Linked DNA regions of Elephas maximus indicus. Each later gene encodes a partner of the first gene's protein in a complex. Links are inferred from orthologs where the notes say so. Each region holds a gene or a part of one and is shown in the gene's direction. Other genes may lie near its edges.

Region 1 (7,781 bases):
TGTGTGAAATTTAAGTTAAACTTGCACAGACCCACCTCCAGCCCATCAGAACACTGATAGTGTTCTCCCTGTTGTATATAGTAAATTTAACACCTTCTTTTCATAAGACCGAAACCAAACTCATTGCCAATGAGTCAATACAACCCATAGCGATCCTCTAGGACAGAGGAGAGCTACACCATATGGTTTCCAAGGAGCAGCTGGTGGATTCGAACTACTGACCTTTTGGTTAGCAGCCAAGCTGTTAACCACACCACCACCAGGGCTCCTTTCTTAAGACGGTGGTGTAATATTTGTCTAACTACCTAGTGTGTTTCAATCACATGAAACGTAATTATGAGAGTTACGAAAGTTTTTTTAATCTCAATATTTCCTATACAACACCCTTGTTCAATGAGCAAAGAAAAACTAGATTTGGTCAGGTTTTCGGCATTTGAAAAATGAACCTTGCTTTTACATACACAACATACAGATTTTCTGGAAAGTCTTTCCGATAGGGGTTGGAGCTCAAGCCCCTGCATACGAGAATGGCGTTTGGGGGATTCCGGCCTGGACTTGGCTGGGTTAGATGCCTCTGTTTAAAAATCTTACAAGGGAAATAAGTTCAGTCCCTCACTTGAAAGCATGAAAAATACATTAATAAAAAGCTTACATATTTAAATAAAACACACGGGAAATTATTTCTAACCACAAGATAGCAAATCTTGGACAGAGGACTCCAGCGACCCTCCATTTTATCCCCCTATTAAATGAGGAAACCCCGGTGGTGTAGTGGTTACGTGCTATGGCTGCTAACCAACAGGTCGGGAGTTTGAATCCACCAGGCGCTCCTTGGAAACTCTATGGGGCAGTTCTACTCTGTCCTATAAGGTCGCTATGAGTCAGAATCGACTTGACGGCAAAGGGTATTAAATGAAGTGATTAGATACAACGCTTTGTCAATCTCCGCTTTAACCCCACAGTTATAGATTGCAGATCGCAGAGCTGGAGTCATAAAAGATGAATTTTAGATTTGTCTCTGTTTAAAAATCTTTCAGTGTTCACACTCATTCCCATCACCGGGAGTTAAACTCAAATTTCGCAGGTGAAAAATCAGAATCTAGGTAGACAGATCAAACAGGATAGACCCTCTTTTCGACATGTTACCCGATTAGGGTCCGTGCCCTGGAGCAGTCCAGCCAATAAAACACACCAAGTCACAAAAGACAAAGTTTTCTCAGGAGATGCATACATCACCGGGGACTGGCAGCAACACAGGCTATCTCTATGGAGTTCCAAAGAGCAATTTTACATTAGAGCTTCTATAGAATTTTACAAGGGTTAGAAATGTCTTCGTAGTTACCTGAAGTACAACGCTGTCAGTGATAGGAAAATATCCATACACCTACAAGGAAACCAGTTAATACGACTATTATTCAAATTCATGCACCAATTACTAGGGCCAAAGATGAAGAAATAGATTTTTATCAGCTGCTGCAGTCTGAAATTGATCGAACATGCAATCAAGATGCATTGATAATTACTGGCAATTGGAATGCGAAAGTTGGAAACAAAGAAGAAGAATCAGTAGTTGGAAAATATGGCCTTGGTGATAGAAACAATGCCGGAGATCGTATGATAGAATTTTGCAAGACCAACGACTTCTTCATTGCAAATACCTTCTTTCACCAACATAAACGGCAACTATACACATGGACTTCGCCAGATGGAACACACATAAATCAAATTGACTACATCTGTGGAAAGAGACGATGGAAAAGCTTGATATCATCAGTCAGAACAAGGCCAAGGGCCGACTGTGGGACAGACCATCAATTGCTCATATGCAAGTTCAAGCCGAAACTGAAGAAAATCAGAGCAAGTCCACGAGAGCCAAAATATGACCTTGAGTACATCCCACCTGAACTTAGAGACCATCTGAAGAACAGATTTGACACATTGAACACTAGTGACCGAAGACCAGCTAAGTTGTGGAAGGACATCATACATGAAGAAAGCAAGAGGCCATTGAAAAGGCAGGAAAGAAAGGAAAGACCAAGGTGGATGTCAGAGGAGACTCTGAAACTTGCTCTCAAACGTCGAGCAGCTAAAGCAAAAGGAAGAATTGATGGAGTAAAAGAACTAAACAGAAAATTTCAAAGGGTGTCTCGAGAAGACAAAGTATTATAATGACATGTGCAAAGAGCTGGAGATGGAAAACCAAAAGGGAAGAACACAATCAGCGTTTCTCAAGCTGAAAGAACTGAAAAAAAATTCAAGCCTCGAGTTGCAATAGTGAAGGATTCTACGGGGACAATATTAAACAATGCAGGAAGCATCAAAAGAAGATGGAAAGAATACACAGAGTCATTATACCAAAAAGAATTAGTTGATGCTCAACCATTTCAAGAGTTGACATATGATCAGGAACTGATGGTACTGAAGGAAGAAGTCCAAGCTGCTCTGAAGGCATTGGCGAAAAACAAGGCTCCAGGAATTCATGGAATATCAACTGAGATGTTTCAACAAACAGATGCAGCGCTGGAGGTGCTCACTCGTCTATGCCAAGAAATATGGAAGACAGTTTCCTGGCCAACTGACTGGAAGAGATCCATATTTATGACTATTCCCAAGAAAGGTGATCCAACCGAATGTGGAAATTATAGAACAATATCATTAATATCACACACAAGCAAAATTTTGTTGAAGTTCATTCAAAACTGGCTCCAGCAGTATATCCACAGGGAACTGCCAGAAATTCAGGCCGGTTTCAGGAGAGGACGTGGAACCAGGGATATTACTGCTGATCTCAGATCCTGGCTGAAAGCAGAGACTATCAGAAGGATGTTTACCTGTGTTTTATTGACTATGCAAAAGCATTCGACTGTGTGGATCACAACAAATTATGGATAACATTGCAAAGAATGGGAATTCCAGAACACTTAATTGTGCTCATGAGGAACCTTTACATAGATCAAGGGGCAGTTTTTCGGACAGAACAAGGGGATACTGATTGGTTTAAAGTCAGGAAAGGTGTGCGTCAGGGTTGTATTCTTTCACCATACCTATTCAATCTGTATGCTGAACAAATAATACGAGAAGCTGGACTATATCAAGAAGAACAGGGCATCAGGATTGGAGGAAGACTCATTAAAAACCTGCATTATGCAGATGACACAACCTTGCTTGCTGAAAGTGAAAAGGACTTGAAGCACTTACTAATGAAGATCAAAGACCACAGCCTTCAGTATGGATTGCACTTCAACATAAAGAAAACAAAAATCCTCACGACTGGACCAATGAGCAACATCATGATAAACGGAGAAAAGACTGAAGTTGTCAAGGATTTCATTTTACTTGGATCCACAATCAACAGCCATGGAAGCAGCAGTCAAGAAATCAAAAGATGCATTGCATTGGGTAAATCTACTGCAAAGGACCTCTTTAAAGTGTTGAAGAGTAAACATGTCACCCTGAAGACTAAGGTGAGCCTGACCCAAGCCATGGTATTTTTGATCGCATCATATGCATGTGAAAGCTGGTCAATGAATAAGGAAGACCGAAGAAGAGCTGACGCTTTTAAATTGTGGTGCTGGCAAAGAATATTGAATATACCATGGACTGCCAAAAAAATGAACAAATCTGTCTTGGAAGAAGTACAACCAGAATGTTCCTTACAAGCAAGGATGGCGAGACTGCATCTTACATATTTTGGGCATGTTGTCAGGAGGGATCAGTCCCTGGAGAAGGACATCATGCTTGGCAGAGTACAGGGTCAGCGGAAAAGAGGAAGGCCCTCAACGAGGTGGACTGACACAGTGGCTGCAACAATGAGCTCAAGCATAACAACGATTGTTGAGGATGGCTCAGGACTGGGCAGTGTTTTGTTCTGTTGTGCATAGGGTCGCTATAAGTCAGAACCTACTCGATGGCACCTAACAACAACAACATAGAATTTTAGAAGGGTTAGAAATGTTTTTGTGGTTACTTAGCTGGAGGTATGCTCAAGAGGGGTCATTCATTACAGGATAGTGACAAAAGATACCTGCCAGACATCTCTTCATTAGGCTAAAGATACAGATATATACCTGGGCTCCAATTTTCCTGTGGGGGTTGTATGCCACAGGTTGTCGGACATTACAAAATGTTATTTGCCTCAGTTTAAAACAAAGTTATTAACATTTGGTCAAAACAAAGCCATTAGCAGAGGTATGTGAAGGAGAGGACAGGCAGAGGAAGGAGAAAAACTTACAGGTTCATCATGGCGTTAGTTATGTCGAGCTCTCAGTTGCCCATTTTGAATTAGGAAAAAAACATGCTGGGGAGTATACGGGGTCACAGGCAGCCAGAACCAAAATTAATTCTTGCCCATCTGCTTCTGTGGCCCTTTTAAACACCAAATGCTTCACTCCACTTCTCTAACTCTGCCTATGCTTCCTGTATCCCCTTAAACCCTTTAAAAAACCTTTTGCCGTGGAGTCAATTCTGACTTAAAGCGACCCTATTAGTCCTACATCCTGCATCCAGGACCCACCAAATCCCATTAGGCTCCATCCCCACCAGCCACGCGTGCATAGGCTTCACGCAGCTTTCGCAGCCCCATCGGTTTATTGCCATACAGTCCCTGCTTCCACGCTCTACGGTCTTCCAGGTCTCCTCAGAGTCCGTAAAGCCCAACCCTTCTCTTCACGCCTTTGACCGATCTTTTTCCGCCAGGACCGCGCCTCCCCACCTGGCTATTTGATTGGCCGCCTGCTTGCCACTACGTCATTTAACCGCGCCACCCGGAAGCCGCAGTTTATACCAACTCTCCGTTCTGGTTCCCGGCGGCTCTGAGGTAAGGGGCGCGTTTGAGTGTCTCTCTGTGGCAGGGATCCCAGAGTTGGGAGGCGCGGAAGGCGCAACTCCCGGTATGAATCAGACGAGCCCATTCCCAACGTTGGGAAGGTGAAGATTTACTGCGCAAGAGGCCAAACTGGAGTGGTCAAAACGGCCTTCCCTCTCCCCACTCCTCAGGAGCTCATCATGGCGACGCCCCCTAAACGGCGGGCGCTAGAGGCCACGAGTGAGAAAGTGCTGCGCTATGAGGCCTTCATCAGTGACGTGCTTCAGCGGGACCTGCAGTGAGCGGGCGTGGGGGGGCGGGGGGTTGTAACCTTCCACGTGGTGGGCGGAACGTTTAGTGTCAGCACAGAGCTTTCTGATTGGCAGGTGGGGCGTTCTGGCCCGGCCCAGCGCCCCTTTCAAGCGGGAAGGAGGGGCGACATCCGGGGTGCAATTTGACTGGGACGGGGCGTTCAGCGCGCAGGGCGTGTCTGCGCGTGCTTGACTTCGACATCCCTTAATGGTTAAAAGCTAGGTTTCTGAGGCCGGAGTTCTTAGGTTCAAATCCCGGCTCGGCCACTTGTCATCTGTGTGAACATGTACTTCGTCGCCTTTTCTCTGCTTCATTTTTCTCATCTGTGAAATGGAGAAGTTGACAGAGCCCTCAAATCTGGTGGTTTTGTGTTTTCAATGTGTTCAAATACTTCTAAAGAATTTAGCGTGGATGTCTGAAACATACTAAAGGCTCAATGAATATGAAGAATTACTGTCACTGTTAATATAAGTGGGAAGTTCGGTGTTTACAACTAGGACTTTGAGCATCCTAAAAGGGATGGAGGATTTTTCTAGGGTGAGAATGAGAGATTCTGATTGGTCAGAGGCATTGACAGTCATTTATAATAATATTAATAATAGTATAAATAATACCTAACACATATATAGAGCTTACTATTCGGCAGATATTATTCTAAGCAGTTTATATAACATTTAATTCTAACGACTGCATGAGGTAATACTGTCATTATCCTTTATAGATGGGGAAACTGAGTCCCAGAGAGGCTCCTTACTTGCCAAGTTGACATAGCTAGTAAAGGAGAGAGCCTGGATTCAGACCCAAGTCGTCTGACTGCAGAGTCCAAAATCTTATCTTCTGCACTAAAAGGCTTGTTCAGGGCATGGGGCTATAAGGGTCTCACAGAGGCAAGATATGAGGTATCCCAAGAGGGACAGGGTCACCTGTTGGTCACCACTGGACTCTCACTCCATCAGAAAGGTGCTGGACCATCGCGACAAAGTATATGAGCAGCTGGCCACATATCTTCAACTAAGAAATGTCATTGAGCGACTCCAGGTAAAGATGCCAAGGTTGGATACCTTTTTTGTGGGCAAGGGAGGAAGACAAGAGGAGAAACCCCAGACCAAAACCTGTCTCTTGACTTAAAATGTGAGTACTGACCCCTTCCTCTTTCTCCCTGGCCCCACAGGAAACTAACCACTCGGAGTTATATATGCAGGTGGATTTGGGCTGTAACTTCTTCGTTGACACAGTGGTGTGAGTGTCTACCTGCCCCTCTGAGCCCACAGGATTCAGCATCCCCCTTCCTTCATTCAACAAATATTTTGAAGGCATCTGCTCTAACCAGACACAGCTAGGTGCTAGGGATGTGACAGTGAATAACATAGAACAAAATCCCTGCTCTCCTAGAGCCTCTATTTGGGGAAGATGGGGGAGGGGAATCAAAAAACATCTTGAATAAGTTATACGGTATACTACATGGTGGTAAGGACTTCCCCCTGCTTCCTCTAACTTCTTTGGGGGAGGGGAATCAAAAAACATCTTGAATAAGTTATACGGTATACTACATGGTGGCAAGGACTTCCCCCTGCTTCCTCTAACTTCTTTCTTCAGCCCAGATACTTCACGAATCTATGTGGCCCTTGGATACGGTTTTTTCCTGGAGCTGACATTGGCAGAAGCTCTCAAGTTTATTGATCGTAAGAGCTGTCTCCTCACAGAGTAAGTCCCTTCTATGAGGATCGTGTCTAAATCACCAGTACCCTTCTTCCTTCTCCCCATATCTGCCTGGGATGGTACTTAGGGACCCATCTCCCCTCCTTCTCAGGGCTGGGGCTGAGGAATGTGAGAACGGAAAGCTGAGCCCCAGGCACAGCACATAATAAGCAGTCTTTTTATCATTCATCAGACACTTATTGGGCATCTCCTATATGCCAGGGTCTGTGTTTGGTGATGGGGATGCAGCAGTGAACAAGAAAGAATGGTTCCTTGAAGGCTTACATTCTAAGGGATGAGACAGATATTAAGTATACTGTTATAAAAAAGAAATACATAAGTACAATTATGACCAGATCTGTGAGGTCTCGTTAGCCTGTAAATCAGTAACAGTAAAACAAGTTATCTCTGACTTTACCTCCTGCTAATTCCCCTGCACATTCACTGTGCTGTTGTTACACTGACCTTCACACTCTTCTTTAAACACCCCAAGAATGATCCCACCTCAGGGCAATTGTACTGGCTGTTCTCTCTGCCTGCAGTGCTCTTCCCCAGATAGCCATGTGGCTTTCTCCTCACTCAAATGTCTTGTTTATAGGCCACTTCCTCAACGAGGCTTTCTTTAACCTAACTTTAAAACTGTAACCCCTAGCACTCCTGATTCCCTTCCCTTAGTCTTTTTTCCCCCCAGCACTTATCACCTCCTAATATTTACTGTGTAATTTACTTCTTTGAATGTGCATTGTCTCTTCCTATGAATATATAAGTTTTACAAAGAGAGAAATTTTGTCTACCCAAGTGCCTAGAATAGTGCATAGGCACTCAGTGTTTGTTGAGTGAATTAAAAATGGTATGCGGAAGCAGAATGAAGTGGTAGTCTGTGTTAGTGGGGATGGTGAGGTGATATGAGGAGAAAGTGTGGGCTCCAGTTGAGTTTGTTTTGCGTGGCATCAAAGTGGAGATATCA
Region 2 (6,471 bases), on another chromosome or scaffold:
AAGCTTAACAAGAACAGCACACTAGAGCTGATTAATCTTTATTATCCCCAAAATCTCAGCACAGACCCAGCACACAACAGGTGCCCAGAGGGTGCCTGACAAAAGAAACTCAATTAGAGGAAAACACACTGAAACTTGTATTGGGGGGGGGGGGGACGGACAATATAAAAAGCTGGAAAAAATGCAAATACTCTCTAAGGAAGAGCAGAAATCCAAAGTAGACACACCACCCCTACCCCTCACATCGCAGCCAGGACTTAAAATGAACAATCGTCTTTAATGACGACAATGATGACAGCAGCACTTCCAACTTGCTAGGCCCCATGCTAAGCTCTCTATGTGCCTTAACTCACTTAATGTCTACAACAGCTTTATGAGCTGGACCAAAACCACCACCAAATCCATTGCCATGGAGTCGATTCCAACTCATAGTGACCCTATACGACAGAGTAGAACTGCCCCATAGAGTTTCCAAGGAGTGCCTGGTGGATTCGAACTGCCGACCATCTGATTAGCAGCCGTAGCACTTAACCACTATGCCACCAGGGTTTCCTGAGCTAGACCAGGGGTTGGGAAACTAAGGCCCATGGGCCAAATCTGTCTATTTCTGTACAGCCCACAGGCAAAGAATGGCTTTTACGTTTTTAAATGGTTAAAAAATCAAAAGAATACTATTTTTACACCTGAAAATTACATGAAGTTCAAATTCCAATGTTCATAAATAAGTTTTATTGAAACACAGTCAAGCTCATTCGTTGACTCTGTGGCATGGTTGAGTGTTTGTGACAGAGGCCACATGTGGCCCTCTCACTGCTTCACACTGCTGCTCGGAACACCTACGATTCGCAGTGACTCAGTTATAAGCTGACAGCAAGTGGAATGCCTCATATTCTACCTATCTCATCACCCGTCTGTGTAAAAAGATGTTTTCCAAGATGGAATACATAAAAACTCTGCAGATCGGCCTTGTCCGGTGAGCATTCGCCATCGAGTTTGATGCTCTGGCACACTAACTTTGAACCTCAATTAAGCACAATGCTATCCTCAGACAGGGAATCTGATTTTCTCAGTCGTCAACCTGTATCACACTACGCTGTACTCGACGATCACTGGGTTTTCAGTTTAATCGCTAAAAAGATCCGTGACGATTTTTCTGTCTTGCTTGTCAAGTAACTACAATAAGGTCCTCAATTTCGCCACATGGCCTTCAAAGCCCAAAATATTTACTATCTGGTCCTTGACAGAAAAAGTTTGCTGACCCCTGAGCTAGACACTCAGCTCCCCATTCTGGGGGTGAGGGAATTACAGCAAACGGGGGCTAAGTAATACGCCCATAGTGACATAGCTAATAAGTGGCAACGACACGATCTAAACCCAGGCAGGCCAGCTGCAGTCTGTACTCCTAAGGACACATTAACTTCCATACCTTCCTGCCCCACCGTTACGCCCAATACCTCATCCCCAAACAAGTGACTTACGTGCCTGTAGAATCTACTGTCACAGCCCGGACCCCACCACGGTGACACAGAATCTTAGCCAGTGGCTCTTTCACAGCTGGACTCCATAAAGACACAGTACCTGAAAGTCAGAGAAGAGCTAACGTTACAGATGGGATGCTGAGGTAGTCACACCTGGGAAAGATGAGGACCTAAGACCAAGAGATAACGACAGGAAAAGGTAAAATGGCAATTTAGGGCCACGCGAAATACAAATACAGAAGAAAAGCAGGTCAGGATGGCCAGAGAGTCGCAGCTAAGCCAGGGACTGACCGTTGCTGTGTCCGAGATGGATGACGGCATTATAAGGGTTTTGAGTCATGACATCAAGGCGTCCAGCCCGAGCATTCAGAGCTGTCACAATCTTCCCTACCGACACATCCAGGTAGGTCAGGAACCCTGTCTCTGACTGAGAGAATGAAAATGACTGAGTACTGATTGTCCTCTGGCCTCCCTACACTAGGGTTCCAGGGGAGGAGCGGCCTTCCCAAGGGCTGCCACCCGGTCCCTGTGCTCCACAACCACTTACCGCTGTGGTCAGGAGGAAGTGGAAGGGCAGGAACTCGAGTCGCGTAATGCGGTCACAGCGGCGGATGCAGTGGAGTTCAATGCCTTGGTTGTCATAGATGTGAAGCCATCGGTTCTGAGCGACAGCAAGCAGTGCCTCTGAGTGCAGAAACCTGGACGTTCAGTGGGAAAGGGGTCACAGGCTGTCATTCCATCAGAGAAAGGCTGTCTTGGCCCCACCGACTGCTGACTGGAAGGCCACTGACCGGATGTCCCGCACAGATTCCATGACATTGATCTCACACATCAGCTTCTTTGTTACCCAGTCAAGGGCAGCCACATGACCCCGACGCCCTCCAAAAGCCAGGTGTCTGTTGGAGAACAGGGAGAGGCAGGGTATCAATGCAGGGGAACACGCTGACTCAGACAATTTGAAGTCTGCTCCATGCCAGCCCCTTCTCACCAAGTGAGAAGTGAAATGTTACCGTAGATGCTCACCCCTATGTCCACGCAAATCACGATCCCCTCCCCTCGTCAACAGCTCAAGCATATTACTGGAATTCAACTTTACCTCCCAGTTCGAGAGTAACTCAGCCTGTAGGGTCCAAACTGCCGTAGATTCAAATCAAAGTGCTGGGAAAGGGAGGAGTAAAAACAATCAAGAAAGAATAGGCTCCCTTCAGCAACTCCTGCTTCTAGTTCCCACTTCTCTCTGCCTTGCATCACTAATAGATCCACTGGCCCCCTCACCACCCTCAGGCTCACCTTGGCTGCACTGGCAATGTCCACAGCCTCCACGATGTCAGCCTGACATATCTTTGCCGTGTCCTCCCCATCATCCCCTTCCAAAAATCTGCAAGAGAGGATTAGGACTGCAGTAAAGCTTCCTAATATGGTGAAACAAAAATTAGAAGAAGGAACAGGGATCACAATAGAGGACCCCGAACAGAGCTAGAGAAAAATGTATAACAAAACTCTAACTCACAAAAAAGAGACCAGGCTTACTGGTCTGACAGAGACTGGAGAAGCCCTGAGAGTTTAGTTCCCAGACACCCTTTTAACTGAGTACTGAAGTCACTCTTGACGTTCACCCTTCAGCCAAAGATTAGACAAGCCCATAAAACAAAATGAGACTAAACAGGCACGCCAGCTCAGGGCCAGAGATGGGAGGTCAGGAGGGGCCGGGAAAGCTGGTTAACAGGGAACCCAGGGTCGAGAGGGGGAGAGTATTAACACGTTGTGAGGTTGGCAACCTCCATTACAAAGAAATACGTGTATCGTTTAATGATAAACTAATTTGCTCTGTAAACCTTCATCTAAACTACAATAAGAAAAACAAGAAAAGGGAGCCCCATAAAGGAGGAGCCAGGAAAGCCCAGATTAGGATCCACTCACCCAGGTTCCTCAGCAAGCACCAACTCAGAACGAGCAGCTCTGACACTGGTTTCCTCTTCCTCAGCTTCAGCCACTTCAAGTCTCTTTTGAGTTTTGGATTTAGAATGCAGTAGCTATAATAGCGTCGGTCAGGAAGGGGTCATGGAAAGAACCAGAGAATATGTGAGGTGACAGGAGAACCACCTGGCCCAACATCTATCCAACTCACCAACACACCCTCTGCCTCCAATCCCTCCCCACTTTCCGATCGGTCCTCACCTTTTTGGATTTGTCAATGCGACGGAACTTCAGGGCCGCCTCCACAGGGACTGGGACAGGGCCTGGGAATGGGTCCTGGGCCTGGGGCAGGGAGAAGGTGATTAGCAGACATGCTCGGGCTGACCCAAACTCTCTCACCTCAAAGCAAGATGCGCCTTGCCCCAGCACCCCATCAGGCCCCAATCTTACCCCAGACAAGGTCCGCTGGGGCACCGGATTTCTCCGTTCTCGAGACTTCTTCGGAACCTGGGGCTTCTTGGAGATCCTAGACTTCTTTTGGATGTGAGTGTTCTTTGTTCTCCGGCGGCGGAGCTCCTGCTTCCTCTTCTTGCTACGAGAGGGTCCTGGGGAGGCTCTAGCAGCGGTCGGTGAGGTCTCTTCTTCCTCCCAGTATCGCCGAGGTTTCTACCGGCAGATGAGGGACCCTGATGCTCCGCTACCCACGACCCTTGCACCCCCGGACCCTGCAGTTAAAAAATTCCCTTCCCTTCCCAGAGAGACCTCTACCTTCCTCTTGGACTGAACTCTATTTTTCTTCGGTGGGACATCCCCACCCGGCTTGGGGGCAGTCTCCATCAAGCCCACCAGATGATGATCCACGTGCAAACTCCTCTCAGCTGTCCCACAGTAGGCTAGGAAACCCCCGGAAGTGCTCTGATCCTCACCCAATGAGAGCCGTATACCAGGTCTGAAGCCCTCTGGCGCCATCTTAAGTGAGGGTGAGCGCTCCTTTGCGAGGCGGGGTTGTCTTGGCTATGAGTCGGAATCGACTCGACGGCAATAATACGGGTAGTCCTTCGCACCTCCATCCCGAACGGCAGTTTTTGCTCTAGTAATAATGCCACTGTGGATTAAAGAACGCCAAATCGCGGCACCAAGTAACAGTGAAGTTTTTTCCATCTAAGTTTTCCCATCTTGCCTAAAATCTTCTCAGTCCAGTCTTGTTAGCAGAACGCCTCTCATCACACATGTCAGAACCACACTTCCCGGCGTGTCTCAGAAGGCAGCGTCCGGCGCCGTCTTTTCCCAGCATTCCTTGTTTACTTCCGGGGTTAGTAATTCTAAAGGGAGAACGTGAATAGGGCGAGCTTTCGACTGAAGGGGTTGAGGTCTCGTTTCACCTTATTCCTTGGGGCTGGGACAGAGTCGATATTCGCAACGGGGAGAGGTTGCGGTGTCCTGAGGGGCTGCTTCTCAAGAGTGCTGTCTGTTCCGCCGGCCAGGCCAGGAAGGGAAGCTCGGGTACCTTCCAGAGTGTCAGACCCAGCGCCCCTCTCCCGCTCCTCGCAGGTTGTTGTCCCCGCCATGGCTGAGCTGATCCAGAAGAAGCTACAGGGAGAAGTGGAGAAATATCAACAGCTACAGAAGGGTAAGGGAGCAGGGTCGGTGTGGCCTCACCCCAATCTCTTCACTCACGCACAACCCAAAACAGTAACCAAGACAAAATTTTTCTGCCCCACCCACGCCCCTGTGTGAAGCCCCATCCCCTCCTCAATATTCCCCGTATCCATCGACCCATCTTTGTCTATTTCTTCAGCTCCATTCTCCTGACTAGGATTGTAAGAGTCGGGTGGCACATTTGATGTCTCTCATCATGTTTTTCCTTCCACTTCCCAGACTTGAGTAAGTCTATGTCAGGACGGCAGAAGCTTGAGGCGCAACTAACAGAAAATAATATCGTGAAGGAGGTGAGGGACTGGAATTTATGGGGCGGGAAGTGACTGGGATTTGTGGGGTGATGGTTCTGATCGTATATGTCCCTCTCCTCTACTCAGGAACTGGCCCTACTGGATGGGTCCAACGTAGTCTTTAAACTTCTGGGTCCTGTGCTGGTCAAACAGGAGCTGGGGGAGGCACGGGCCACAGTGGGGAAGAGGCTGGACTATATAACCGCTGAAATGTGAGTCTGTCCCAAACGCTGTAATGCAACTGACACTGTTGGAGTAGTTGCTGAGGAACCATTGTAGAGCAGCTCTGCACAGTGGCCCCTGATTGTGCAGTCCTCCACATCCTCCTTCCCTTTTAACCCTCCATCTCCTCCCTCCCCTAGATCTCAGCTTTGCCACTTATCTTTCTTGCTTTCAGTCTTTCAGTAGTCTCACTAATTTTTCCTTTTCTGTTTCTTTGTCTTCCTTGCCTCTCCTCAGTAAGCGATACGAATCCCAGCTCCGGGACCTGGAGAGGCAGTCAGAGCGACAGAGGGAGACCCTTGCTCAGCTGCAGCAGGAGTTCCAGCGGGCCCAGGCAGCAAAGGCAGGGGCTCCTGGGAAGGCCTGACCCTGTGGAGGTGGGGGGAGGGTGGGGAGGAGGGAATGAGGCAGCTCTAGATCTATACTGTAGCTAATAAAATGTGAAAACACTTGGTTCTGTTTTCTGACCAGCTACTCTGTCAAGTTTCTCTCTACATATTCTTCTGGCCCCTTCCACCTTATATGCCACTTACATTACTGTCTGAGGCCCATATTTTTGCAACTGGAGTCTCTCTTGGCAGGGCAATCTTTTCCTTCTTTCTTGAAACCAAAACCTGAAAGGTCTCAAATTTGTTTCTTGCCTGCATTTACAACCCTTCACATTCCCTTATCTTGGTTGGCGTGACCAACCAAGGAAACATGGGCAGGGCGTTTACAATGCAACATAGTGTTAGGAATATCGGTTTAATTGAAGAATCACAGTTCTCTAACCTGAGACCTCAGCATGAAATGTGGTTACCGTCCTTGCTATGAATACTTGTCATCCTTCCAAGAGCCATGGCATCTCTTTTAGTTCTTTTTAGTCTGTTTTCTTAGAATTTGTTTGTAGCTTAAACTGATGTAAA
Region 3 (7,952 bases), on another chromosome or scaffold:
ATGGCTTTGGTCACCCAGGATTTAATCTCAGCCTTGAATGCCCAACTTCCATTACAAAATCACTGGGAATTATAGACACATATCCATGTGATGTTTTGTTTTGTTTTGCTAAAGAGAAGTCAATGGACATAGCACAGCAATGCTTTTAAAACCAAACAACAGAATCTAAAAGTAAACACAGGTGACCTGAACTAACTTGCTTGCTTATACTGTGACAACACAAATAGTATTTTCCTGCAAGTTGTTTCACAAAGCCAAAAAAAAAAGTTTTTACAACCCCAAGGTAGTCATAAACAGATTTTGATTAACAGTTTTGTAAAACTTTAGCATTGCTAACAATATAAACTGACATAAATACCCCAGCTATGAAGAGTTCTGAATTATGAGGGCATTCTATAAAGAAAAACATTATCTGAATATGTAAATAATTATTACTGATATATCATTTACATATCATTTTCCGTTTACTCAGGTGAATATATTTTCGTGTTTTTAAAGCATCTTACTGCAAATTCGGTATTAGTAAACATTTAATCACTATTTGTAACTTTTCTGATATTAAACATTTCATAACTATTTTATTTAACTGACTCAGTTATGCACTGTGATGCTAACTCACAGAGGTGATTGCGTTTAATTCTGTTTCTTCAATTACATAGACCATAATTTTCGAACATGTCTTTAGTCTTTGGGAAGGTAGGTGGACTGTGGTAATCATATGGAAGAAGTCCTAGAAGAAGCTAGGTAATTTTGTTCAAACATCTTTATAGCTGTAAGACATGTGAGGATACACCAGACGTTGACAACATATAAAGCATCTTTCATTGGTGTCATTCACAAGCCACAGTGACCAGTAAACTGTAAGGTAAAACCACCAATAATAAACTCTTCAAATTCAGCTGGCACGAGAGCAGATCCCAGACTAAGGTGTGGTGTGTGAAGCACCTAGGGTGCAAAATTTAACGAAACATGCAACTTTCAGGATGCTAGTCCTTGCCCTGCACACGTGGTGTTTGCTGCAGAGGCCAGGGGTGCGTGATTTCCACATTCTTACCTCCGGTAGTTTACTGGGTTTGTTTGGGTTACCTCCGGTAGAAAGGATTTGCTCATCTCTAGCCCAGTACCCGAAGACTCAGCAATTCCTCTTGAGAAGCAGACCAGCTTAATCTGCTCTATTACTATCGCTAAAATCCTGCCTCCTCTCCCCAAAGTCTGTGTGATAATACCCAGCAGTCCTCCTCCAGAGTTGTGGTATTACAGTGGTTAAGTGCTTGGCTATTAACCAAAAGATTGGTGGTTCAAACTCCCAGCCACTCTGCAGGAGAAAGACGTAGCAGTGTGCCTCTCTAAAGATTTACAGCCTTGGTAACTGTATGGGGCAGTTGTACTCTGTTCAATAGGGTCGCTAGAAGCCGTGGTTGTGTGTGCTGCTAACCAAAAGATCAGCAGTTTGAATCCACCAGCCACTACTTGGAAACCCTATGGAACAGTTCTACTCGGTCCTATAGGGTCGTTATGAGACAGAACTGACTCGATGGCAAAGGGCTAGTCCTACTCACAGTACTAGAGCCCTGATGGTAAACACCACTCCAGTATCTCAGGCCCTGTTATCTTCTGACACAATTCCTGAGAGAAATCACCTACTTAGATTGCAACATCACCCTTGATTCATCTCATTATTTGGTCCGAGGGCCCACCCCACACAGTTCCCAGTGCTGTCCGCTTGCTGAGGCTGCCCTTTGGCCTGTTAGTCTAGGTTTCTTAAGAGCCTGTGGCTCGGTCTGTTCCCCTTCAAATAGTTCCCAGTTAGTCCTACCCCATCAGAGTTAACAGAACCATCCAATCATTGTAACAACCAAAAGCACTTCCATGTTTTTTCCAAAGCATCAGCTGGGGACAGCACTTCTCCAGTTGAGAATCACAGAGGGAAAAGAGAGGACGTACCTTCAACAAGAAATGGGCCAACTATCTCAGAGTCTTGCTCTTTCCATCCCGTTGGTTCATAAACCTTCTGTCAAAATCATCTGGGGAAACTTCTGATTTACTTATTTAACACACAATTATATAGTGCTTACTCTTAAATTATTATAAACACACTACAAATATTAGCTCATTTAATTCTCATAGCAACCCTATGAGGTAGGCCCCCATTCTACAGATTACATGCAGAAGCTAAGATTGAAATGCAGGCATTTTGCGTGTGAGGTATATGGTAAGGACTGCTCTATGCAGCAGACATCCAGATCCCATCCCCAAAGATCTGAGTCTACAAATCTGGGAAAAACACAGTGAAATTTGTATGTATTTGAACAAAACTTTCAAGTTATTTCATATAGTGAGAAAGGCATCCACCCAGTAGCATCACTAGGGTTGGTGTCACCCTCCATACTAATTACCGCAATATTGTAGCACATGATGAAACCATGTGATTCGAAGCATCATTATAATTAGGTAATAATGACAGTTCTAACTGGAGCACATTAGAAGATTCAAAAAGTAAATTAGCATAGAATATTAGTCTTGTAGATATACTGATACATGAAGCTGAGTCTAAGAAAAAAAGTTTTGTTGTTATAACTACAGGAATATTTTTATAAAAAAATAAATTTCTAGTGAAACACTGCACAAAAATTTTAGAGATGGTTATTTTGGTGTCACTCCCTCTGACAGTGTCTTCTGGTACAGACCACACCCCGCCCCACCTCCTTAGTGATGTCACTGCACCCACCTACTGACTAGTATTTGAGAACCACAGGACTATACCACATGTCATTTAGAAGAGACAAGACAACGACTTATGTGGCTAGAAAGGAATCTCTGTGTTGGAGTACAATGAGAAAGCAAGGAAGAATGGGGGGCGGGGGAGACTATTAATTCAGAAACTTGGAAGCCAGGCTAATACGAATCAGTTAAAATATATTGAGAACATAGCATCAGGGGAGCAGTACAAGTATCATTAAAAAAACCATGAAATTATCCTATTAAGAACGATACATGACAGCAATGGTCTTAAGTGAAAGATGCATGAAAAAAGAACAGCCTACCTAGTTGTGTGATGGGCTACAGATGGGCAGATGTTGACCGATCAGGCATAATAAATGTACAGACCAGTCCTTTCTTAAACAAAAATTAGTAAACCAGTCTAATTTGTCCAAAAACTCACCTTAATTATGTGAACTTGGATTCTTAAAAAGTTTCCGACCTAGCAGCTTTTATATCAAGGACATGTTTTTTAAAAGTCTAGCACAAAGTATTAGAAATTCAGTGTCTTTTTATTATTTATTTTTTGTGAATTTTGGGATTATAAATTTATGTATCACTACAAACCAGTCAGAACTGACTCCTTTAAAAGCCATTATAAGTATTAACATCCTCCAGAAGTAGGAAAACATTTTACATTTACACAATGAGATATAAAGGCTTTTTTAAACTATAGACCCACAGACACATGAAGAGCTTACAGCTTCAGTTGTGTATCCTCAATCCCCAGTGGAAAATAAACACAGAAACACAAAAGCTAATCAACCACCACAGCTGTTCTCCTTCCCACTGAACACAAAACTGTTAATTTGAGCTCACAAGAAGACAACAACAAAATAACCTGTAATGTCTCTTCCAATAGAAAATATACCTCCCATCACCTGACGTATCACTAAATGGTGAAATCATAAAACCAAACTCCCAAAACATTACCGCTACTAGTGTTAAATGACTTATCAGCCAGGCACAAGTAAGAAACACACACACAAGTTTAAATAGGAAGAGTGGGAAAAAAAAAATTAGAGAGTAAAGTTAGGTCTATAACCAATTGGGATTTACTTTAAAAGCTAATAAAGACATGACTGGGCTTAACCCATGAGGTGCACTTCTTCAGTGATACAATTTATTTGGCTCCACAGGTGGTCCCACTTGGGTATCTCCATGGAATCTCAAGTTTCCAATGGTAAAGTGTAATTTTCAAAAGTATAACACCATGACCCTCATGAAAATATAAAATGAACACATGTCAAAGTTTTATTCAATTCATTAATTATATAGAGAATTGGGAAGACATTAAAACCAATTCAAAGAGCATTTGGGATGCTGGGGATGTATTACTAAAATTATGTTAGAATACGATCATAGAATTAGATACAAAACCGATTAATGTCTAACTGAACAATAAATCATAACCTCTGGAGTAACCTGGTCCAACAGATACCTGACAAAACTCCACAAGTTAAAGTCTGCCCCTACAGAATTGTACAATAATACGGTCAATAAAAAGGACAAAACAGCACTGAAAGAACACTCAGTAATCTCTTTTGCCTATTTCCAAATTTTTGATAATTTTTCTCACAGGAGTGAAATATTAGAAATATTGCATGGGACATATATATATAATAAAAATTACTGTTTTATCTGAAAGTCAAATTTAACTGTGCCTCTTTTTTTTTTCCTGTATTTTACCTTGTAACCCTGCTAACGAGTTAACAAAAATTTTACCGAGTTTGTACAGTTCCGCTGTCAACCTTACAGCTCTTACATCTGTGCCTCACGTGCTACCCCCCGTAGATAATAAAAATTTAGCGGTATTCCTATTCTTTATATTTACCACTGGGTGACGCTTACAACCCGCAGTAAACCCACTGGTATGGAGTCAATTCCAACTCATAGCGACTCTCCACGACAGGGGAGAAACGCCGCAGTCTACTAGGGGAGAAAGAGTGAAGAGTCCTCAAAAGCCGCTTCTACAACCCATCCCCCAAGGTAGACTTGAAGAAGCTCTCAGATTTCACAACCAGGCTCTGTTGGCGCGCGCCGGAAAAGGTTCAGCGAAACCGCCGAACTACGCCCAGGCCAGACCCAGACTGCGCAGGCGTTCGGGTTAGTGCGCAGACGCTGTCAGCAGGACTCACGGGAAGCGGAAAGGGAGGGGGTGGAGCCGCTGAGGGCGCGCACGCGCAGAGGTCGGCGGCTGCCTCCAGCTGGGGCGCCTGAGGTGTTCTGTGCTCCTCGCCTCGTGCGTTCCATGGAGATGCCCAGCTCCCGGGCGCATCCGGAGGACAGCGCTGAGCTGGTCCCTTCCGACAACTCGACCCCGCACAAAGAGGAACTTAACAGCAAGGCAAGTGTGGACGCGGGAAGGCTCACGGGCCCCGGATGGGGCGCCACTGGCCCCAAAGATGGTCCGCCGCGGCTCCTTCGCTCCCCGCGTGCTTGGCCATCCTCGGTCCCTGGTACCCGGTGGGTCAGTGTCAGTGCGTGACTCGTCGGGCCTCGGCTTTGCCCAGCTGGTGTGCACTTTTTACTCATGGCACTATGTGCAGCTCTATACACTTTGCAGCTGCCTTCTTTTAAACAGTTGTAGTAAGGGAGACACTGAAAGTTGCTCCAAGGTTAGACTTAGGTAGCAGTGGGACGGAGGTTTTTAAAATTTTTCACTTTACCTTTTAAAACTTTTAGAAAGACCGCCCTCCTCTCCTAGATGTTCTATTGCCCGTATTCTCCATCTCAGAAAACGCCACCACCGTCCGTCCAGTTGGCTATGCAAGTAACAGGCGAGCCATCCTTGACTTCCATCACAACGTCCTGTCACTTCTACCTCCGAAGCCCCTGGACTCTTAACCACCGTCTACCCTGCTATCAACCCAGACCAGCCACTATCGTCTCTCATTGGGACTCTCTCAAATCCTTCCCAACTGGTGTTTCCCCATCCACCATTACTTTTTTCTAATCTATTCACCATTTAGCAGCCAGAGTAATAATCCTAAAACATGTATCTGATTGTCACTCTATTTTTAAAAAAGGGGGGGAGGGGAGGCAATATAAAAATTTCGTGCAATAGACAAAAGCTTTAAAAATATGGGGAGAGAGCAGTTACAGCTTTTCAGATATTAGGTATCCTTTGCTTCTGTCCCAAACTAACAGTGACATCTTGGGCAGGTCTCTTTAATCTCTCTCCATCATATTTTCCTTGTTTGAAGTATGTAAGTGAAATTTATACCTGCTTTCCTAAAATGAATAGGAAAAGTACTGTTCAGACATAACCTATTGTTATTACTACTTTCATCCCAGGGAGGTCATATGAATTCAACCTTGGTATTCAACCTGATCGAGTCAATTACTAGAACCTTGATTATCAGCTAGGGAGACACAAAGGTGCACACACATCGGGGGTAGTTTTTTAAACTACACAGCATGTTCCTGTTACTACCATAGCAAGTCCCTTAAATTAATATATGATATTCTCCAGGTGTGTGAGGTAGAAAAAAAGACCGTGAACAATAATTTTAGAGCCACTAGCGTTTGGGTAGCGAAACTGTCAGGTTGTCAAAATAACTAGTTATTTGCTTAGTTTTCACTTAGCTGAATGCTCCCATGCTAGTATAAAGCAAAGCCTCTTTCAGTAGTGCCAGGACTGTGCTAGTCTTTGAAATACAGAAATGAATAAAGCAACAATGGGAAGTGATAGGTCTTACTGCCACAAGTAGGGCATTTAGCATTACTTGCTTGTTTCAGATGTCTAGCTACACCATTTAGTTCATAAATCATAAAAACCACTAATAATTGAAAAAAGTAGCCCACCCCTTATCCCATTCAGAATTAAATAAAAAATATAACACAGCTTGTGAGAATTAATTGAAAAACTGTTAATACTTTTGGTGCATACCATATGCTTTTAATAGAAGATATAAACCTTGTTTGGTTACCGTACCACTTGGTGTGTATTCTGGCTACCAGCAACCCTTGGCCAGTCTAATCACTGCTTCCCCCTTCAACTTTCCCCCACCTCCATCCCACACAGACTTTGCGAAAAGAATCTGTATATTCACAGACTGCCCATTTTGAAAATCACTACATAATAGTCCCATATTCCATTTCTGATTCTGAAACAATTAAAGGACCATCTTTGAACATACCTTGAGAACTCCTGATTTAAGGATTTTTTTTTCCTTTATTTCTATAGATTAAAGAACAAAAAATTGTTGTAGATGAACTTTCTAACCTGAAGAAAAACAGGGTGAGTTATTAGAGTAATTGGTTATATTTTATTAAAAATTACATATATGGTTTATATAAATCTAACGTTAAAATGTTTAGGATTTCAACATCTTTTTAGTTAACAAATTGCAAAAGTGAAAAAGTTTTTTTTAACGTGTGTGTAATGTTGAAAATGGTTTTCCCCCATCATGTGGTAGGGTCGGAATCAACTTGACGGCAGTGGGTTGGGTGGGTGCTATCCACATTACTTTTGGACCAAATGATACTAAGGGTACTGTAGTTTACTGCTGTAATCAGTAATAGTATTTATTTTATACTTGAATTTGATATTTTCTTTTGTAATAAATTAACTTTAAATATATGGAAAAGAGAGGAAACTTTCTATAAATGAATATGGATAATTGTTGAACAACAAAAAAAAATGATAAAATTGCCACCCCCCAAAAAACAATAATAATAACCTCAATCTTTGAAGTGCTTAACACGATTTTTAAATGTATTCATGAGCAAGCTGCCAAAGTTACCAAAAATTACATTTTAAAATTCAGGAGGAAATTATTTTAGCTCCTTAAAGGATTTAAAATATTATTTTATAACAGGTTAGACATTTCTAATATTGCCTTTTGTGGAATATTAGAAGTTAAGGCGCAATTGAAACGAACTTTCTAGATGACAGATTGGCAGAGCATATCAAAGTCTTAAAACTGTAACAGCTTGACCCAGTAGTATCATTTCTAGGAATTGATGCTTAGAAAAGAATCACGGGTGTGCACAAAGATTTAGTTACAAGGATATTTCATCACAACATTGATTTTATAATAGTGAAAAGTTGGTAACATCACAAATGTCTTAAGATTTGGGAACTGAGCAAATAAAACTAGTATTTTATATCCATACAGTAATACTGTAAAAGAATACTTATTAACATAAGAAAAGGTGTTCACAATGTAGTATTTACTGATAAAAGC
Region 4 (7,742 bases), on another chromosome or scaffold:
GCCCCATGCCCACACAGCCAGAGCACTGTGCTACCCTTGCCTCTTTTAGTCCATCCTACAACCACAGCCCTGGGACTCCCTGAGTGGTGCAAATGATTAATACGATCAGCTGCAAACCGAAAGACTGGCAGTTCAATCCACCCAGAGTCACCTCAGGAGAAAGGCCTGGCAATCTACTTCTGAAAATCAGCCAGTGAAAACCCTATGGATCCAGACAGTCAGATGCCATTGTACATGAGCTGGGGGTTGACTTGACAACAGCTATCAACGCTGTTACAGCCAGGGGAGCCTTTAGTGAGGTTAACCCAATCACGTCCTGTGCTTGCTCAGAACCGTCCAGTGGCTTCTCACTGATTGGAAAACCAAATCCAATCCCTTCATCTTGGCTGACAAGGCCTGGCATGACCTGCCACTCTCACTTCCACCTCCAGCATAGGGGTCAAGAGCCTGCCTGAGGAATAAACAGCATTGGTTAGAATTCTGGCTCTTTTGCTCATTCATTCATTTAAAAATGTTTAGTAAGCACCTACTACAGACCAGGCACTGTTCTAGGCATCTGGGATACATCAGTGAAAAAATGAGACAAAGATTTTTGCCCTCATAGGGTCTCTATGAGTTGGAATTGGCTTGATGGCAATGGGCTTGGTTTGTTTTTGGGGGGTTTCCTTTCGTAAAGGGAGATTAACAGTAAACACAGTAAGTAAGTAAATTGTATAGTATGTTGTTGTTGTTAGCTGCCATCTGGTCACCTCCTGACTCATGGCAGCCCCGTGTACAATGGAACAAAATCCTGTCCAGTCCCGCCCTGCTGGGGTCATCCCCATGATCAGTTTTGGGTTGGGTCATTGTGATCTACAGGATTTTCATTGGCTGATTTTTGAAAGTAGATCTCCAGGCCTTTCTTCCTGGTCCATTTAGTCTGGAAGTTCCACTGGGGCTTACTTAGCATCTGTTATGGATTCAATTATGTCCCCCCAAAATATGTGTTGGAATCCTAACTCCTATACCTGTGGGTGTAATCCCATCTGGGAACAGAGTTTTCTTTGTTGGGTTAATGAGACCGTCTCAGTGAAGAGTGTATCTTAGACCTATTCACTTTTGAGATATAAGAAGAGCATATTAAGCAAAGAGAGGCAAGCACAAACGGAGGGGGAGATATATGCTGTGTGGACATCACCAAGAAATCAGGGAATGCCAGGTCTACAGGAACTGAGAGATCTTTCCCCAGAGCTGAGAGAGAGAGAAAGCCTTCCCCTAGAGCCGGTGCCCTGGATTCAGACTTCCAGCCTCCTAAACTGTGAGCAAATAAATGTCTGTTCTTGCCAACTACCTACCTGTGGTATTTCTGTTACAGCAGCACTAGGGGGCTAAGACAGCATCATAGCAACACACACACAAGCCTCCACTGACAGCCGGTGGTGGCTGAGCCTGAAGGTGATAAAGGCTGTAGAAAACAGAAAAAGCAGAGCGGAGGAGGGTATCCTACGTGCTGGGTGGGGCCGGGCTGCATTTTTACACAGGGTGGTCAGAGTGGGCCTCACTGAGCAGGTGACATTTGAGCAAAGAGGTAGGAGAGTGGCCCACAGAGATACTAGCGGAAAGCTCAGGGAGAGGGAGCGGCGGTACCAATGTCCTCAGGTGGGGCCGTGCCTGGCCCATTGAGGAACAGCAAGGAGGTAGGAGATGCCTCAGAGAGTTGGTGAGAAGGCCAGGGCAGGTCCCGTAGGGCCTTGTGGACCTCCTCGAGGAGTGTGGTTTTTCCTGAGTGGAGAGTTTGGATCAGTGAAGGAGTAGGGAGGTAGGGCAGGGGAGAGTGGGAAGCCGAGCAGGGTTGGGACCTCAGGAGTTGTGTGGAGGGCAGCATCTGCCTGACATCACCCCTTCTGCAAGGAGGGTGGGCTCTCATGCCCCTGAAATGATAGTTAACAGTTTGGGGGTAGGGCAAAGTCCCTCCAATAGGCTCCATTAGCCCGAGGACAGTCCTCCCCAAGGAGACATGTAGGTGCTGGTCACTGAATGCATCTGGGGGCAAGGGGTGTACAGAAATGTAAAAAGAAGCCCAAGAGCGGTGGGGGAGCATTGCTTTTGTTGGCTCCAGTCCCTTAACACTACAGCCCCAGCAGCTGCTCCTCTCTGGGCCTGGTGGGGTAGCCAGGGATGGGGGCATGCCCCAGTGTGGTCAGGTAGGGTTTTTCTGGTTAGAAAAACACCCTACCCAGTGCCTGACTCCCTTCTGCAACATCCTGACCATGTGGCCCCAGCCTCGACTTACATACCTCCTGAGATAAGGAACCGATTACCCTTGAATTGTTCAAATTCTAGAAAGTCCTGCCTCATGTTGAGTTCACTCATTCATTCCATGAATGTTAACTGAGCACCTACCATCGGCCAGGACTGTTGTAGGCTCTGGAGATACAGCCATGAACAAGACAGACAAGGCTCCACCCTGCAGAGCTCATGTCTGGAGAGCGAGATGGCTAGAGGAAAAAGATGGCGTGTTAAGTACAGACTTGGGGCAGGGGGCCCAGGAAGCTGTGAGGGCCCTTGGCCCTTGGGAGGGGTGACACCAATCTGAGAAGTAGTTGTGTAGGTTCAACATATGGGAGAAAACTAATCCAGGGTGATGGAGGATGGTGTGCAAAGGTCCTGGGGATCTGACCATTGCTCACCACCCCCCTGGTCCAGCAGCCATCCTCTCTCTCTGGAAATCAATAAATATTTGTGTAATAAATGGTTCTGAAATATAAGTGATCTTCCAGCTCTGACCATCTGGAAGTCTTGGATATTACACCCCTCTCCAACCCTTCTAGGGGCCTGGGGTGCCCTCTAAGTGCCAGTCACAGCCAAGAAGCAGCCAGCATGGGAGCCTCCCCCAACCTCTCCCACTCCAGGCCTATCTGGTAGGGGTCAGGGGTCAGCCTGGTTCCACCCTCCTTGGACCCCAAGGTGGGGAGACCCAGTCCTGAGATCCAGGTCCCAGGGATGCCTTGTGAACCCCGTTTTTCCTTTGACAAATGTGTCTCTTTCCTTCACAGGGCCTTTGTCTGTGTTTCTGAACCAGAAGGTGTTTACACAAAACATCCTGGGTTTGGCGAGAAATTCACCCTCAGTGAGGAATCCTTCATGAATCTCTCTCCTTCCCCACACCAGGCAGCTGCAGGGAAAATTAGCCCTGTCTCTGGTCATTGAAGGCAGCCAAAGGCCAGGCAAAGAGGGTGTGCTGCTGGCACCACACTTTGGGGAAGGGTGTTTTTCAGCAACCAGAGGCAGTTTTGGTATGGAGAACTGAGCAATTCAGACCCACTTTTGCTCCTGACTTGCTGTGTGACAAGCCACTGCCCTTCTCCTGGCCTCAGTCTTCAGCTGTAAAATGGGGCAATAATAACCGCATCTGTACAAAGGTTGCTATGGGGTGTGAAAGGGCTTAGTTACAAGGGGTCAAAAAGGGGAAACAAATAGCTGGAATTGGGGCAGCAGGAGGTCCATAATCTAGTATCAGGTCTGCTGTTGATTTTTCCAAGTCCTCCCCTCTCTCTGAGTCTCAGTTTTCCAGCTGTACAATGAGGGGCTGGACATGAAGATTTCTAAGGAACCCTCTGGTTCTGACGGGGAGCTACTTCCCATCTGTCCAGCTCCTCTGGGAAGTTCTCCCGAATCCTACGGCATATATCAAGTCCTTTTCCAGCACTCCCAGAACTTCTTTTCTGAGCTGGTACTTCATTGCTCACTGCCCATAGTTTCCCAACCGTTCCTTGGGTTTAGTTAGGGCAACCCCTCCAGGCATTGGGCCCAATGCAGGGGCTCAATGAACACTGGGCAAACTGAATTAAAACCGATTTCTTTCTCCTTCCTGTCCTATGGACGTCGTTTATTCATTCTCATTTTATACACTGGAAACTGAAGGTGCCAGAGGTTAAATATAAGCACACCACCACACAGGCCTCCTTGAAGTTCCTCAAACAGGCGAAGAATGGTTTCCATGTGTCCAAAGCCCTTTTCACTACTTGCCATAAGCCAGTAAAAAACAAAACAACAACAACAAACAGTTCCCATGGAGTCAACTAAGACTCGTGGCTACTCCATGTGCGTCAGAATAGAACTGTGATCCATAGGGTTTTCGATGGCTGATTTTTTGGAAACAGATAGCCAAGCCCTTCCTCCAAAGCACCCGCCTCTGGGTGGACTCCAACCTCCAACCTTTCAGTTTGCAGCTGAGCATGCTAACCGTTTGCACCACCCAGGGACTCCCTACCTACCATAAAAAACAAACAAGTTGCCCTCGAGTCGATTCCGACTCATAGCGACCCTGTAGGACAGAGTAGAACTGCCCCATAGGTTTTCCAAGCAGCGACTGGTGTATTTGAACAGCTGACGTTTTGGTTAGCAGCCATAACTCTTAACCACTACACCACCAGGATTTCCTCTAGTATATAATTATTTGTTTTGTCATTAATTGTTGATGTTTCTCACTAGGACAAAGTTCCACGAGGGTAGGGACTTTGCTTTGTTCACTGCTGAATCCTCAGCATTTAAAACTGCCTGGCACATACTAAATGCTAAAGAAATACCAGACCTGGAAAAGCAGAGCAGAGCTGCGGATGTGCTCTCTGGCCCTCCAGGGGGCGCTCCAGCCACTCCCCCAAAGCTAGATCCCACCCCTGAGTCCGGCAGACGTCCGTGCGTAGACGCCTGCGCACCGCCGTTCTTTCAATTGCGCCTGCGCGCCGGAAGCGCTGTCAAAGCTGCGCGTGCGCGGGCTCAGCCGGCGTGGAGCCGGAGGTGGGTTAGCGGCCAAGCGGGGGCTGGCGGGGACCATGCTGTCACCGGAGGCAGAGCGGGTCCTGCGGTACCTGGTGGAGGTGGAGGAGCTCGCCGAGGAGGTGTTGTCGACCAAGCGGCAGGTGGGAGGTGCTGCTGCCGCTCCCGGGCTGGCGGTTGGGGCCTGGCGGCTGGGGCCTGGCGGCGAGGCGGTAGGGAAGTGCGGGGTCCGGAATGCGGCTCCGCACAGATGCGCAGTGTATTGACCTGGCCTGATGATGATGGTTGGGCAGCTCCGAGACGACAGACTTCGAGGGCGGTTGTGGGATAACGTGGGTCAAACGCTTAGCACAGCGCTTGCGCGTCACTCATTTATTCTGCGGGTACTTAGTGAGCAGTGTTTGGTTCCGTTGTACGGGGCGTCGCTGAGTCGGAACCTACTCGACCCTACCTAACAACAACGACAACTATGTGCTAGGCGTTCCCTCTCTCCGTGCCTCCCGATCTCCTACATTACCCATTCCAGGCGGTTTCCCGGAATCACCTTTCTAAAAGTTCATTTGCGGGGTCCCCTCGTTGATGGGTGCACCGCAGCTGTCAAGGTCCTGAGAGACGAAGAGTTACAGAAGAGAAGCCTGAGAGGCCTTGTGATTGGGAGGAGGGGGGCCTGGCCATGGAGAGTCTTGTAGACCCACATAGGGAATTTGGGTCTGCTTCTCTTTTAAATGCCAAGTCGTTGAAGGGATGTCATGGAGGAGTGTGAAGTAATTGGATTTTCGTTTTAAAAGAATTTTTCTGGCTGCTGTCTGGAGCATAGATATAGAGGGGCAATGGTGGAGGCAGGAAGATGACAAGGGGCCATTGCCATGGTTCAGGCTAGCGATGAGTTTGGATCAGAGACATGGAGAGAAGTGAATGGGTCAGAAATATATTTTGGAGATGGACTGACTCAGGAGGAGGTGATAATGGTTACATATAGGGCTGAGGGATGGGGAGAAGTCAAGAATGTCTTATAGTAAATGGAAGTGAAACAACTAGAACAGAAATAACAAGAACTTTGACACAACGTGAAAAATGTAAGCAAAGTCACTGATCGTTATATTTAGAAACTGGAATGGGAAGGAGTTTTACTGTGTATATATTCACAAAAAAAAATGACTTATGACTTTGTCTCCTCTCCATTTAAAATGACTGGGTGGTGGGCGGGGCATTTACTGAGAAGCGGGTGGCTTGGGAAAGGGCCTATTAAGTGAAAAACTGCACCGACATATGGTGGTCGATAATAGTAATAGCAGTTAAAGTTATTGTGTGTCAGGCACAGTGCTACCTCATTTCGTTGGTGGCTTAGTAACCTAGGAGGTATGTACTGTTCTTTTCCCCATTTTTCAGAGGAGGAAACAGAGGTGAAGTCACACAGCTAGTAAGGGACAGCGGTATTCAAGCCCAGGTGCTTGGGTTCCAGAGCCAGCACGCAAGCAGTACACTGTATTGCCCCCTCACTTCCTTAGTAGCTATTAGGTTGTTACTACCCTCTCACTGCCCCTACCCCTGCTGTTCAGTCTAGTATTTTGAGTTTTTTGTGATACTAACTCAAAATCAGCTGAAGGAGCTTGTCCAAAACTAGAGATTCTTAGGCCTGCTCAGTCACAGTGTCTAGGGGGGAAGTTTGGGAATCTGCCTTTTAAACATGCTCCCCTGGTGATTCTGATATGCCCTATGCTCCAGTAGCTAAGACAAATTAGCCATTTAGCCTGCAAACATTTTCTAGCACCTTCTCAGGGGGACAATCCTTGCACAAAACATTGTCTTCAAAGACCTGAAAGGTGAGTAGGAGAAGAAACACATTCACAGGCCAGTTTAAGCAGGCCGTTGAAAGAAACCTAGGAATGATGTCTTACTATTTTCCCAGCCCCTGTTTTATTGGAAGGTGACAAGCTGGGGCAGGAGGTAGCTGAGTTCCCACCTGTCCCTTTGCTTTTCAGATTGTGGACCTGGACACCAAACGGAATCAGAACCGAGAGGCCCTGAGAGCCCTGCAGAAGGATCTCAGCCTCTCTGGTAAGTTGAGATTTCCTCACTGTGGCCCTAGAGGCCTGTTTGGTTTTCCTTCTGCGGCCCTCGCTTTGTCCTTGGTAGAGACCAGGCCGGAGGCCACAGGTATATGACTGTCAGCCTCATAGGGAATTCAGACAGCCTGCAGGGATGGGGGGAGACCCTGGTGGCATAGTGGTTAAGTGCTACTGCTGCTAACCAAAAGGTCGGCAGTTTGAATCTGCTTGGCGGCACTCCTTGGAAACTCTATGGGGCAGTTCTACTCTGTCCTATAGGGTTGCTATGAATCGAAATCGACTCGATGGCAACGGGTTTGGTTTTTGGTTTCGGTGGGCATAGGGGGAACTGTTACAGGGCCTGACACAGACTGTAGCCCAGGATCTCAGCTACCTACCTCAGTGACACACCATTACCTCCTGGCTCACTTGGTGATGACAGACAGAGGTGCTGGTGTATATAAAAAATGGCATGGCTTCTGCCCTTCTACTCTAACAGATAAATAAAATAGCATGAAATACATAATTGAGAATTTTGAGAAAGCTAAAGATAGAATTGGACATGAAGCAGGTGTAGGTGTCGAGAATATCCAGGAGGAGGGGGTGGGGACTGTTGAGATGGGGCCGAGTGGCTGTGGCAGAGTAAGCAAGAAGGGAGGGCATGAGATAGGCAGAGGCCAGGCCATAATGAAGGGCTGTGGGGACCAGGGAAAGAAGTTTGAGTTTTGTTTAAAGTTTAGTGGAGAACATAAAACCTTCCAGTTGCTTCTCATTTCACCAGAGGAAAAAGTTCTGCAAGGCCCCCCCATAGTCCAGCCCCCCACGAACTCTCTAACACCATTTCTGCTCTCTTCTGAATTCATTGACTCCAGCCAAATTGGTCTCCTCACTCTTCCTAACACCCCAAGCACACTACTGATGTTTGCTGTTCCTGTT

The links.
Region 2: UXT (region 1) and PFDN6 share a complex: the UniProt entries of both Homo sapiens proteins name them as parts of the PAQosome complex. The link is inferred for Elephas maximus indicus from reciprocal best matches to the Homo sapiens genes UXT and PFDN6.
Region 3: UXT (region 1) and ASDURF share a complex: the UniProt entries of both Homo sapiens proteins name them as parts of the PAQosome complex. The link is inferred for Elephas maximus indicus from reciprocal best matches to the Homo sapiens genes UXT and ASDURF.
Region 4: UXT (region 1) and PDRG1 share a complex: the UniProt entries of both Homo sapiens proteins name them as parts of the PAQosome complex. The link is inferred for Elephas maximus indicus from reciprocal best matches to the Homo sapiens genes UXT and PDRG1.

Annotation. Positions count from the first base shown.
Region 1 is NC_064846.1:123,951,534-123,959,314, forward strand, and holds the start of UXT (protein UXT), read left to right. Parts: upstream 1-4,761; 5' UTR 4,762-4,816; intron 4,817-4,842; exon of another isoform or gene 4,843-4,889; intron 4,890-4,995; 5' UTR 4,996-5,004; coding exon 5,005-5,102; intron 5,103-6,072; coding exon 6,073-6,154; intron 6,155-6,287; coding exon 6,288-6,355; intron 6,356-6,712; coding exon 6,713-6,820; intron 6,821-7,781. UniProt on the Homo sapiens protein: Involved in gene transcription regulation. Acts in concert with the corepressor URI1 to regulate androgen receptor AR-mediated transcription. Together with URI1, associates with chromatin to the NKX3-1 promoter region.
Region 2 is NC_064819.1:96,082,213-96,088,683, forward strand, and holds PFDN6 (prefoldin subunit 6), read left to right. Parts: upstream 1-4,709; 5' UTR 4,710-4,961; coding exon 4,962-5,025; intron 5,026-5,273; coding exon 5,274-5,344; intron 5,345-5,431; coding exon 5,432-5,556; intron 5,557-5,803; coding exon 5,804-5,933; 3' UTR 5,934-5,971; downstream 5,972-6,471. Other genes in the region: WDR46 (WD repeat-containing protein 46), read right to left, coding at 1,479-1,578, 1,770-1,905, 2,026-2,176, 2,270-2,374, 2,575-2,636, 2,769-2,856, 3,399-3,511, 3,657-3,737 and 2 more. UniProt on the Homo sapiens protein: Binds specifically to cytosolic chaperonin (c-CPN) and transfers target proteins to it. Binds to nascent polypeptide chain and promotes folding in an environment in which there are many competing pathways for nonnative proteins.
Region 3 is NC_064824.1:87,826,226-87,834,177, forward strand, and holds the start of ASDURF (ASNSD1 upstream open reading frame protein), read left to right. Parts: upstream 1-4,941; 5' UTR 4,942-5,011; coding exon 5,012-5,107; intron 5,108-6,949; coding exon 6,950-7,003; intron 7,004-7,952.
Region 4 is NC_064843.1:37,503,994-37,511,735, forward strand, and holds the start of PDRG1 (p53 and DNA damage-regulated protein 1), read left to right. Parts: upstream 1-4,732; 5' UTR 4,733-4,814; coding exon 4,815-4,901; intron 4,902-6,740; coding exon 6,741-6,816; intron 6,817-7,742. UniProt on the Homo sapiens protein: May play a role in chaperone-mediated protein folding.